Linked DNA regions of Macaca fascicularis. The protein of the gene in region 1 interacts with the protein of each later gene in a pairwise test. Links are inferred from orthologs where the notes say so. Each region holds a gene or a part of one and is shown on either strand. Other genes may lie near its edges. The genes, in order: CSTPP1 and RAB29.

Region 1 (5,942 bases):
TAAAATTAGCTAGGTACGGTGGGCATGGACCTGTAGTCCTAGCTAGCTAGGAGGCTGAGTTAGGAAGATCACCTGAGCATGGAAGCTCAAGGTTATAGTGAACTATGATCAAGCCACTGCTCTCTAGCCTGGGCAACGGGGTCTTTTTTTTTTTGAGACAGAGTCTTGCTCTGTCGCCCAGGCTGGAGTGTAGTAGTGTGATCTCGGCTCACTGCAAGCTCCACCTCCCGGGTTCACGCCATTCTCCTGCCGCAGCCTCCTGGGTAGCTGGGACTACAGGCACCTGCCACCACACCCGGCTAATTTTTTTGTATTTTTTAGTAGAGATGGGGTTTCACCGTGTTAGCCAGGATGGTCTCGATTTCCTGACCTTGTGATCCGCCCACCATGGCCTCCCAAAGAGATGGGATTATAGGCGTGAGCCACCGCACCTGGTTGCAACTGGGACTTAAAAAAAAAAAAACCCAAAACCAAAAAAAGCCTTCAAATAACACCCAGAGAATAAAATTTAACTTTTTTGTTTGTTTGTTTGTTTTGAGGCAGAATCTCGCTCTGTCACCTAGGCTAGAGTCAGTGGCATAATCATGGCTCACTGTAGCCTCAACCTCCCCCGGCTCAAGTGATCCTCCTACCTCAGCCTCCCAAGTAGCTGTGACTACAGGTATGTGCCACCACACCTGGCTAATTTTGTTTATTTTTTTATAGAGACAAAGTCTCAGTATGTTGCCCAGGTTGGTCTCAAACTTCTGGGCTCAAGTGATCCTCCTACCTTGGTCTCCCAAAATGCTGGGATTACAGGTGTGAGCCACCACATCCAGCCCCAATTTCTTTTCTTTTCTTTTCTTTTCTTTTTTTTTTTTTTTTTGAGGCAGAGTCTTGCTCTGTCGCCCAGGCTGGATTGCAGTGGCACAATCTCGGCTCACAGCAACCTCTGTCCCCCAGGGTTCAAACGATTTTTGTTTCTCAGCCTTCTGAATAGCTGAGATTATAGGAGTGTGCCACCACACCTGGCTAATTTTTGTATTTTTAGTAGAGACGGGGTTTCACCATGTTGGTTTCAAACTCCTGACCTTAAGTGATCCACCTGCCTTGGCATCCAAAAGTGCTGGGATTATAGGCTGAGCCACTGTGCCTGGCCCAATTTCTTTTATATGGCTAAAAAATGATCTTTCAGCAGCTCCGTTATTCCTTCACAGTCTCATCTCCCCTAACCTCCTTCACAAACTTCACACAGACCCTAGACATTCTGACCTGTTACATAAGTATTCCAGGTTCTTTTGTGCTTCAGCATATGTTCTACCTAGGATGCCCTTCTCTCCTTTATCCATGTGAATGATTCCAACTCTTCCTTCCCAGCTTAGATCAAACAGCCAGTTCTAAGGAGGACCTTCTCTGCTCCACTTTTCTCTCCCTCCTCTAACAACAGTATCCCCATCCCACCCCCATTCAGGAGTTTCTTTCTTTGTATTCACATTATTCCTTGTATTTACTGCATGGCATTTTAATATCTGCCAAGAGCAAGGGCTGTGGAGTCAGACTGCCTGGGTATAAATCTGGGCCCAGAATTTACTATGTAACCTTGCCAAGTTACTTAACCTCTCTGATCCTCAGTTTCGTTAGTTACAAAATGGGGATTATAGTATCTACCACAGAGAGCCCTTGTAAAGATAAACGAGTTACTACACGTAAAGAGCTACACTTGGCTCTTAATAGGTATCATTAGTGATGGTAGTGGTAATAGTAATATCTTTGACATAAACCAGACAACTCCTCAAAAGTGAGGTATTCTAAATACCTTGAATAGCATGCATTCAAACAATATTTATAGGAACAAAAGAAAAAGTTTGAAAGAGAGAGAGAAAGAAAGAAAGAAAGAGAAAGGAAGAAAGGAAGAAAGGAAGGAAGAAAGAAAGAAAGAGAAAGAAAGAAAGAAAGAAAGAGAAAGGAAGAAAGGAAGAAAGGAAGAAAGGAAGAAAGAAAGAAAGAAAGAAAGAAAGAAAGAAAGAAAGAAAGAAAGAAAGAAAGAAAGAAAGAAAGAAAGAAAGAAAGAAAAAGAAAGAGGGAAGGAAGGTAGGAGGGAAGGAAGGAAGGAAGGAAGGAAGGAAGGATTCGGGAAGACTTACCGCCATTTTTGCCCACAGTTCGGAAGCATCTCCAGAAGGCTCGTAAAAATGATACCCTATTGTGGGGGGTGGCTTGGACGAAGCTGAATTCTCGAAAGAGAATGTGTGTTCCCTGGCATACACTGTTAAAACTGCAAAGAGAAAAATCAAGAAATCATTGTTAGATGGAATCCAGAAGGCTGGAATCAGAATGAAAAATTGAGACCAGAGAGAAGCACTGCCAAAAAGAGGGAATTTTTCTCCCCAACAAAACTCTGAAGTCTAGATTAGACCTAGCCCTTCTATGGGGAAGTCTCTTCATATAACCATATCTCTCCGAAAACTCTTGGAGGCCAGTTCCTCTGAGTGCTTCCCACCTTCCACAGGTACACACAGAGGACATCTAAATCAGTCATTAGAGCATCGCATATGGAGGAAAGCCTTTTAGTCTCTAACTGGATGACACTGGCACTCATATTTTCCTTTTTGGAGAATACTTTTCCCTCCACTCCATTTGGAATTAGGTTTCCTTAAAGATATTCTTTCTGGGCTGGGCGCAGTGGCTCATGCCTGTAATCCCAGCACTTTGGGAGGCCAAGGTGGGTGGATTACTTGAAGTCAGGAGTTGGAGACCAGCCTGGCCAACAGGGTGAAGCCCTGTCTCTACTAAAAATACAAAAATTAGCCGGGCATGGTGGTGTGCGCCTGTCATTCCAGCTACTCGGGAGGCTGAGGCAGGAGAATCACTTGAACCTGGGAGGTGGAGGTTGCAGTGAGCTGAGATCATGCCACTGCACTCCAGCCTGGTCAATAGAGTGAGACTCATTCTCAAAAAAAAAAAAAAAAAAAAAAAATTCTTTCTGTACTCTCCCTGGCCTATACCAGCTGCCATAAGGATAACATGGCTTATGGGGACATAACTGGAGTGTCTGTTCCAGTTTGGGGTGGTTTTATATATCTCTCTGACAATAACCCCAGAGACAAATCCCATGTGCCAAAGGATATAAAGGGTCCAAACAGAACAAGAAAGGAAAATAGAAACAAGGGTATAAAGTGGCCCCTAAATGAGAGTATGAAGCAAAGCCCCAGGGCCCAAGTGAGTCATTGTTTAAGCTGGGCCAGGGAAGGGAAAAAATATACTCCATTGACTTTGGGTTTTCCTGCCAAAGAAATAAAGGCTGTAGAGCCTGGTGTAATCTAAAAATGGAAATTCCACCGAAGAATAGGCAATTATCCAGTAATCATCCCTACCAGAGCAAACTTCAGGTTCCAGAAAACTTCTAAATTCTCTGACAAGTAAATCATGAGCGGAAAACATGTTAATCTTTGTGGAGAAGCAGACATTAAATTTGAAGATGGCAAGCAATGGGGGGAACGGTGGTAATTCCAAATGCCAATTTTCATTTGTTGACCATATAAAGCGGGGGAAAAAATCTGACTCTGAATGGAACAAGAAAAAATTTCAGGAGCCATCTATTCCGTTTCCCTTCTCTCAGACCAACTTCATGGGAAAGAGTCTAACTTGTCTTTAGAGTATGTTTTCATTTAGGATAAAGTTAGTTCCTTCCTGTTAATAGTAACAGCACTTTATGAAAAAGCAAACTATATACTCTTCTTCTTTAATGGACAGCTAGCATAGAAATCTACTTCTAAGACACCCTGAGGAAGTATGAGGACATCATCTGGCAAAAGATTAGGTTAGTAGAGGGGCTTTCAAAAGCAACGAAAGTGTTAACCTAACCATGCAGTGCTATTGTCTTAAGCAAAGGAAAATAAAAAATACAGGAAATGAGCTGTTATAGGTAAATGCAGTAGGCTACATTTCCAGCAAATGAAGTCTGAAATGATAATACTGTAGCCTAAATTCATGAAGCTATCCAGCAAAGTAGTCCCAAAGCATGCTTCATATTCTAAGAGAGAAAAGTTGATGTCTAGGTCATGGTCTAATGAAATTGTAGCTTTGTTATAGCTTTAAAGACTATCTCAAATGCCAAATTTTGTGTAAAGTCTTTTCCTGATTTTATCTCCCATGCCCAATTTCCATTGTATCTCGCTTAAAATTCTCTAACAGTGCTCACAATTTGCTACTTTGTTTTAAAGTTACTGGACTTTCCCCTATTAGACTGTCAGTTCTATGGAGTAAACACAGATTGTACTCATCTTTGTCTCTACTATATTACCTAACTCATAATTACTCATAAATATTTGTGGAAATTGATTTAGAAAGATAAGAAAGACAGGTAAGTGATGCCAGGTAGAATGTATCTTTGAAGCTAGCCACACAGGAAATATTGAAAGTCTATATCTTATTAATTTTTCTAAATTCCAGGCTTTGGGTCTGATATTTTTATTATAATATTGCAATACCAGCTTTATTTTGATTGGTATTTTCCTGGTATATCTGTTTCTGTGTCTTTAATAACCCCCTTCTAGGTCATTTTGTTTGGGTATATCTCTTGTAAATAGCATGTGGCTAGATTTTGCTTCTCTACCCAACCTTACAGTCACTATATGTTAATGAGTAGCTTTTTAGTGTATCTGATTAATTTCTGACCTGATATCTTATTTTGTCTTTCCCATTATCCATTCCTCTTTGCCTTTCCCCACCCTCTTTTCCTACCTTCTATTGTGTTAGTAAAGTTTTGTTTTGTTTTAATTCTTTTCTATCCTCCCTATTAGTTTGGAAGCTATAGACAAAATCTATAATCTTTCAGTATTAAAATTTAATGTAATCAGCCAGACATGGCAGTACATGCCTGTAGTTCTACTCAGAGGCTGAAGATGGAAGATCGCTTTAGCCCAGCAGTTTGAGTCCAGCCTGGGCAATATGGTGAGACCCCATCTTAAAAAATTAACATAATATTTATCTACATTGTTTTTTCCCCAGACATTGTCTCGCACTGTCACCCAGTCTGGAGTGCAGTGGCCCCATCTTGGCTCACTGCAACCTCTGCCCTCCAGGCTCAAGCATCGATCCTCCCACCTCAGCCTCCGATTAGCTGGGACCAAAGGCATGCATCATCACGCTTAGATATTTTTTTGGATTTTTAGTAGAGATGGTGTCTCACCATGTTGCCCTGACTGGTCTCAAACTCCTGAGTTCAAGTGATCCACCCGTCTCAGCCTCCCAAAGTGTTGGGATTACTGGCGTGAGCCACCGCGTCTGACCTATCTACACATTTTTGAAAATGTCTGAAAATACTCATTATCTTTATAACTCTCCAAAACAAGACAAGGGGCCAGGAATGGTGGCTCATGCCTATAATCCCAGCACTCTGGAAGGCTGAGGTGGGTGGACTGCTTGAGCTCAGCAGTTTGAGAACAGCCTGAACAACATAGTGAAACCCTGATTGTACAAAACAATACAAAAATCAGCTGGGCATGGTGGCACATGCCTGTGGTCCCAGCTACTTGGGAGGCTGAGGTGGGAGGACTGCTGGAGCCTAGGAGGTCAAGGCTGCAGTGAGCTGTGATCGCACCACTGCACTCCAGCTTGGGTGACAGAGCAAGACCCTGTCTCAAAATAAATAAACAAAATAAAAATAAAAACAAAACAAGACAAAGCCCAAAGCACACTTTCTATAACTTATGTGCAGTCTTCTCATCTTCTGATATTATTTATATATCTTCTGATTATTAATATCTTCTGATATTATTTTTTAGAATGTGACTAGAATCTCTTTTTAAATTGGAAAACTTTTTTAATGTGGTAAACTATACATAAAATTTATCATTTAACCATTTGCAAGTGTACAATTCAGCGTCATTAAATATATTCACAATGCTGTGCAACCATGAATATCAATACCCAAAACTTTCTCATCATCCCCGATAAAAACT
Region 2 (6,515 bases), on another chromosome or scaffold:
AGGCTAGGGACCATTTTCTGAGATTGGCCACATACCTTGTTGGCCAAGAGCAGGCAGGGCACCAGCTCTCCATTGGGTAGTGTGAGCTTGCTGTCTAGGTCCTGTTTCCACCTCTGGCTGTTGCTGAAGGTAGTGGCATTGGTAACGTCAAACATAATAACACAGGCAGAGGCATCCCGATAATACAGTCGTGTCATAGAGGTGAAGCGCTCCTGCCCTGGGGAGAAAAGGGAGAGTTCTCAAGAAGGTGACCCAAGAGCCAGCCTCCGCATCCTCTCTAACACCTCAGCCTCTCCCCATTCCTTGTGGAGGGGGGCAGTAAGCATATGTGGCAGAGGGAGTCACTCACTTTCCCCCTCTGACTCTTGGTTTTCTATCTATCCCGTAAAGGGATAATGAAGCCTGATTATTTCCAAGGCAGATTCCGCACCCCGATTGCTCCAGTCCATATCCCTGCTCTGCTGCATACTATTTGACTTCGGGCAAATTAAGCTCTCAGTGCTTCAGATTTCTCATTTCTAAAGTAAAGATAAAAGCAATAACTTTTTTTTTTTTTTTTTTAAAGAGTTTCACTCCTGTTGCCCAGACTGGAGTGCAATGGTGCCATCTAGGCTCACTGCAACCTTCGCCTCCTAGGTTCAAGTGAATCTCCAAAAGCAGTAGCTTTTATGATAGGGTTGGTGTGAGGATTAACGAGTCAGTGAATTTAAAATGCTTAGAAGAATGCTTGGCACATAATAAGGATTCACTATTTTTACTGTATCTATTTTCTGGGGATCTTGTTTTTCACCAAGGTCAGCCTTAAACCTAGAAAAAGGACCCTCCCCTGCTGTGGGAGTATGCACTATAGTCTGGACAATCCACCACCTTGCCAGCCCCTCCATCCACATAGAGACTGCTCTAGATCTATTCAGGGCAAAACATCTACAAAAGCTCTGCACCTATTCAGCTCGTGTGTCCTCAGAGCAGCTCAATCATTCCAGCTTCGGAAAAAAATTTCTGGCTTTGCTGCCCCATTTTTTTTTTCCTCAGATTTTCCTGGTTAAATCAAAATTTCTTCCCTCGTTCCTATCCAGCCCTCCCACTTTACCTGCAATATCCCACAGCTGAAGTCGCACTATCTCGGAGTCAGACCACTGGAGAACCTTCAGAGCAAAATCCACTGAAAATATATGTACATTATACCTTAATAAAATTTCACTGTAAAAATGAATAGGGATAAACTCAAATCAAATAGGCAGTGACAACCCGATGGACACACAACTCGAATCCCATGTTTATCTTTAAGCCCTCAATTCACTGAGATGAGTCCACACATGTGTATTAAGTGTGAGATGGATGGTTCATACTCACTCTCCAAAGGGGTTTCCAGCTTTTACTCTCCTGTCAAGCTCATCTGTTTGCTACTACTTGTCTCCAAGACTGGGGGTGGGAGTAACTATGAAAACAACTCTCATTCTCAGGTTAAACAGTTTCTGGGAGATTTAGGGGGTTTTCTCAGGGAAGGGGTGATGGGGGAGAAGGGGGAAATGAGACAAGTGTGGTTGTTTCTGTATCTTCCACATTCAATTTCACTGCTGGTTTCTAATCAAATTGTATTATGAAAACAACACACCCTGGGGAACTCTACATCCACCATAAGGTTGCAGGTATTATCTTGGGCAAGAATGGAATAAACGGAAAAGGTCCCAGAGGAGTCCCAAGAAGACACTGTGTGGATGTTGCTGAAGAGTCCTGCTGGAATCTACCACAAAGTCTGCAGATGCTGAGACTCCTTAAGGCTAAGTATTCCATGGGGAAAAGCTTTTGGCTAAGGAGAGAAACACAGTAATTTCTGAGGTTTGGAAATATTATCTTTCACATCTGTAACAGGAATCAAAACTAAGGGAAATTTAGACTAAACACTGAAAAAAAAAATTAGCCAGAGTCAATTATATTCTTTGTTAAAGGAAAACTACAGCAATTGTTAAAAATTAACTATTAATAGAAGGCCAATTTTAACCCAAATCCGTGAAATAGGGACCCTTATATTATTTAGGAGTGGAAGGGCAGAGAGGTCAGGATAGTGTGTCTGAAACTTTGAACCTTTAATTTTGCCAGACTTTAATGTTTTGTTCCTTTGTTTTTGAGACAGGGTCTCACTCTGTTGCCCAGGCTACAGTGCAGTGAGTGGTGCGAACGCGGCTTACTGAAGCTTCGACCTCCTGAGTTCAAGCAATCCTCTAGTCTGAGTTTCCGGAGTAGCTGGAACCACGGCTACTTTTTTCTTTAATTTTTGTAGAGGTGGGGTCTTGCCATGTTTCCAATGGCTGCTCTCGAACTCCTGGGCTCAAGCAATCCTCCTGCCTCAGCCTCCTAAAGTGCTGGGATTGCAAGTATGAACCACTGCACTGGGCCCTACTGGGGGTTCTTAAGGAGAATGTTTTAATTGCAATGTGAATGCTTAATTTCTTTTTAAACTTCCATATGAACAGGAGCACACATTTTCACTTTTTCCATTGGTACGTTTTTCTCCCCTTAAAACAAGTTCTTTTAAGAGAGAAAATTTTAAGTTACTCTCCCCCATCACCAGCTCTTCCTAAATACCTTCTAATTAACAATAAGGCATTTCTACCTCTGAAAAAATAGTTGAGTAAAAAGGCCATACCCGGGAAAGAAAGGAATGAACTCAGTGTTCTCTTCCTCCCTACCTTCTTCAGTTTGAGGAAAAAGTGGTGGGAAGATAGGTCAGAGAAGTGGTATATTTCACATTCTTCGAAGAATTCCTTGGTTACTTTTATTTAAGCAATCAACGGACAAAAACACAGCTCATCAGCCCTCATGGGCATCTGACTGCGTAGCCAAGGGGCTCGTTTGGGGATTTTGTGTCTTCCATCCCACCCACAGCCCCACAACAAAGCTAGAGTCCTTCAGACCAGTTCCGCTTCCTGCGTTCTCCCACTGAAGCCAGGTTAAACACCTTGCGGTTCCTTCCTCAACAGAGGTGCAGAACTACAGCCCCAGCCGGCACCTAACCAGGAGGCCCCCAGAGGATCTCAGCTGCTTCTGCTGATTGGAGAGATGCCAGACAGCTGAAAGGCTGGAGACTTGAGTTCACAGTGCGCCTGCAATAAACAGCAATTGCTTATCCTCATCCTCCCTTCCCTATTTCTCATCTTCAAGCCTTTGTTCTTACCTTTCTCCTGGCAGTGGGGTCAGGTTGGGAAAAATCTAACTGGGGAAACTCAAGAGAGGCTTGTAAACGAAACACCCGGCAATTACACCATTTAGGTTCCCAGACAGTACTTCCTGACCCGAAGAAGGACCCAACAACCGACAGCAAATCCGGATCCCACTTGGGTCCCCAGCTCGAGTCCGCGGTCGAGGCCTCCTCCTCCCCCTCCCCCGAAAGACGTCTCACCTCCCACCGTGGACTTGTAGTGTTTGCTGAAGCTGTCCTGGGAATATCGCTGCACCAGCGACGTCTTGCCCACTGCGGCGTCCCCCACCACCAGAACTTTGAACAGGTGGTCGCGGCTGCCCATGGCTAGCGGGGCGTGCGTTTTAGGGAGGCGGGAAGTGGGGGAGTCGCTTGTTTTAACCCCTTTGGCTCCGGACCCTCTTCAAACTGAAGTGAGGCATTCCCACCCACCGCCTGTGTGGGCTGCTCTGACGAGAAAGCAAAAAAGGAAACTTTGCACTCAAACTATACGTGCTTCCTCCCCCGGCGGCCGCAACCTGGGTGGGGCGCAGGGCGCAAGCTCCGAGCCCCCGGCTGTTCGCACCTTCCCCACCCCCTCCTGGCCTGACTGCCGAGAAACGGGACCAGGCGCCTCGGAACCTCCCCACCAGGACTTTCCCGGAGCGGCTCCGAGTCAGTGACTGAATCCCAGTCAGCTCATTACACCACTGGGGCCAGATGATGAGGACCCTCCCCTTGCAGCACATACCAAATTGTCAGGAAGGAGCAGCCGGTACCTTTCTATTCCCTAGACGTCGTCCCGCGCCTCTCTCTAGCCTTCCTCCGCCAGCGTCACGTGCAGGGTTGCCTGGAGCACTACATTCCCCAGCTTTCCTCGCGGTAAAGAGAACCAGCCGAGTGCGGAGGCTCACCCGCGAAGCCTCCTGGGAAATGTAGTGTATTCTTTTTTTCGTTTTAAGCCAACCTACACAAAGTTTCAAGGCTTCAAAACTCCTTCAACAGTTCGGAATCTTATTCTGAAACAATTCTGGGTCAGTTAAGGTCACTTAAGAGGAGATTTGTGCAACGTGATCTCACTGGCCTGAATCCATCCCCAGATAGTCTTCTCCTGTCTTTAAAGGTTTAACGGAGTTAAGATTAAAACTTATTTCGTTAGTAAAAGTCCAAGCCTCATCCATAATGCTCCAAGTGAAGTCCATTTCCTATTCCTTCAAATAGATAGACAAGCCCAGGACTTTGTGAAATGACTCATATTTTCTGTATGAACTTGCCCAATACCAGGCAAGTTCAGGAAAACTTGACCCAAGAGACCATTCTTTGGAAAAACATATGCCAAAAGTTACAGCATTTAATATCCAGCAATAACAATAAAGATAGACAGAAAACAAGAGACAGTTCCCCATTCATACTTCTGCAATGCCTATTCTAACCATACTACTCATGTATCACTTGAGGTAGAGGCTAATTGAAATACACTGGGAATCCTTCTCGATTCATTGTGGCTGTTGTTAATAGATAATCATAAAACTAGTGTTTGGCAAATAATTTTAATTTTTCAGCCTGAAACTTTACTGACCTGCCTGTCACTTAGGTAGGAGTTGGCAGGACATGAGCTCAATGGCAAGCAAAGAGAGCTCCATTTTCTAGACTTTTTCTAGAAACAGAAGAAGAGAACCAGCAGGGCCATGGGAAAACAGCCCAGGACCAGACACTATGAAATCTTACCTAGGTCTCTTGATAGAGAGGCTATCACTTATGTTTTGTGGGGAAAGAACATCAGCGTGGTTCACAATATATTTTGCCCAGAATGTTTGTTACTCAGGTACAGGAGGTTAGGCCAGGCTACTCATCTTTAAGGATCCAATTTTCTCTGTTCCTATTCGTTTTGACATATTTGACCACTCCTTGACATTTGTTTCCCTTATGCCTTCTATGACACTGCTCTTTCTTTGTCATCCCCCTACTTCTCCGATGATTATCCTTTTCTTTCAGGTTTCTCGCCATCCCATTTCCCTCTAAGTATTTCCTGAAGCTCTATTCTTGGTCTTTGAGTCAATGATTCTATAAACTCTTCAATGAATTGTCCTTGGTGTCAAAGATCTGTCTTCACTTTATTGTTCTTTATCTCTGATCAGTGATACTCAGCTGCCCAAAAGGTGCCTCCACTTGGATGTCCTGCCACATCCTTCCTCTTACTACATTGCCACAAAAATAGCTCCTTTTCTCAGCTTCCCTATTTCTGTCACTGGTCTCATTATTTCTTCCCTCCATGTAGACTTCAGATTCTGAGAATTATTATTTCCTTTACACATGTCCCTTTATGCCTATTTATTTATCTGAGATGGAGTCTCACTCTGTTGCCCAGTCTGGAGTGCAGTGGCATTATCTTGGCTCACTGCAACCTCTGCTTCCTGGGCTCAAGTGATTCTTGTGCCTCAGCCTCCTGCATAGCTGGGACTACAGGTACGTACCACCAAGCCTGGCTAATTTTTGTATTTCTTGTAGAGACAGGGTTTTATCATGTTGGCCAGGCTAGTCTTGAACTCCTGACCTCAAGTGATCTGCCCGCCTCAGTCTCCCAAAGTGCTGGGATTACAGGCATGAGCCACAGCACCTGGCCTGTACCCTTTAAAAAAAAGTCAGTTACCATGTCTGATTGATTTTTTCTTCAGTAAGTGGTTTCTCCCACTCATCCTCTCTGCTTCATATCCAGTAACACTTTCTTTTTTTTTTTTTTTCTCTAACTTTTATTTTAGGTTCAAGGGGTACATGTGCAGGTTTGTTACACGAGTAAGCTGCATGTTGCGCGAGTTGGCATACAGATAATTTTGTCACCCAGGTAATCAACAAATAACACTTTCCTAGTTCAGGCTTTCACCATCTCACACCCGCATTATTGCAGTAACCTGTTCATTGGTTTCCCTGAGTTTATTTTCTTTTTAAGTCACCCTCTACAACTGGACAGGATGGTTTTCCTAAAACACCATTGTTTGTTCTTCCTTATCTACCAACTATCTTTCAACAAAAAGGCCAACCTCCCTGAAGCTGGTGTCCAAAGCTTTCTATGCACCTGCTCCAGCCTACCTAACCAATTTTATCTCACCCTACCTCAAATGGGAGTTTCCTCTCTCCAACAAAGTGAGGTTCCTTATGCTCTTTTAAAGCCCAAAGTCATTTTTGGTTTTCTATTTTTGTCCAGGATGCATCACTTTCAGAATACTCTTCAGGTTTCTAAATCTTACTTAAATATCTTCTAATATACCTTTCGGCTGGGCCCTGTGGCTCATGCCTGTAATCCCAGCACTTTGGGAGGCTAAGGCAGGGAGATCACTTG

Evidence for each region.
Region 2: the proteins of CSTPP1 (region 1) and RAB29 interact in a two-hybrid assay, tested with the Homo sapiens proteins (2 studies listed by BioGRID and IntAct). The two-hybrid records come from large-scale screens. The link is inferred for Macaca fascicularis from reciprocal best matches to the Homo sapiens genes CSTPP1 and RAB29.

What each region holds. Positions count from the first base shown.
Region 1 is NC_088388.1:18,802,314-18,808,255, forward strand, and holds part of CSTPP1 (centriolar satellite-associated tubulin polyglutamylase complex regulator 1), read right to left. Parts: intron 3,483-5,942; exon of another isoform or gene 3,419-3,482; intron 2,255-3,418; coding exon 2,124-2,254; intron 1-2,123. UniProt on the Homo sapiens protein: Regulator of the tubulin polyglutamylase complex (TPGC) that controls cytoskeletal organization, nuclear shape, and cilium disassembly by balancing microtubule and actin assembly.
Region 2 is NC_088375.1:63,612,812-63,619,326, forward strand, and holds the start of RAB29 (ras-related protein Rab-7L1), read right to left. Parts: upstream 4,027-6,515; 5' UTR 3,930-4,026; intron 3,649-3,929; exon of another isoform or gene 3,644-3,648; 5' UTR 3,525-3,643; coding exon 3,401-3,524; intron 3,105-3,400; exon of another isoform or gene 2,960-3,104; intron 1,201-2,959; exon of another isoform or gene 1,163-1,200; coding exon 1,091-1,162; intron 218-1,090; coding exon 36-217; intron 1-35. UniProt on the Homo sapiens protein: The small GTPases Rab are key regulators in vesicle trafficking. Essential for maintaining the integrity of the endosome-trans-Golgi network structure.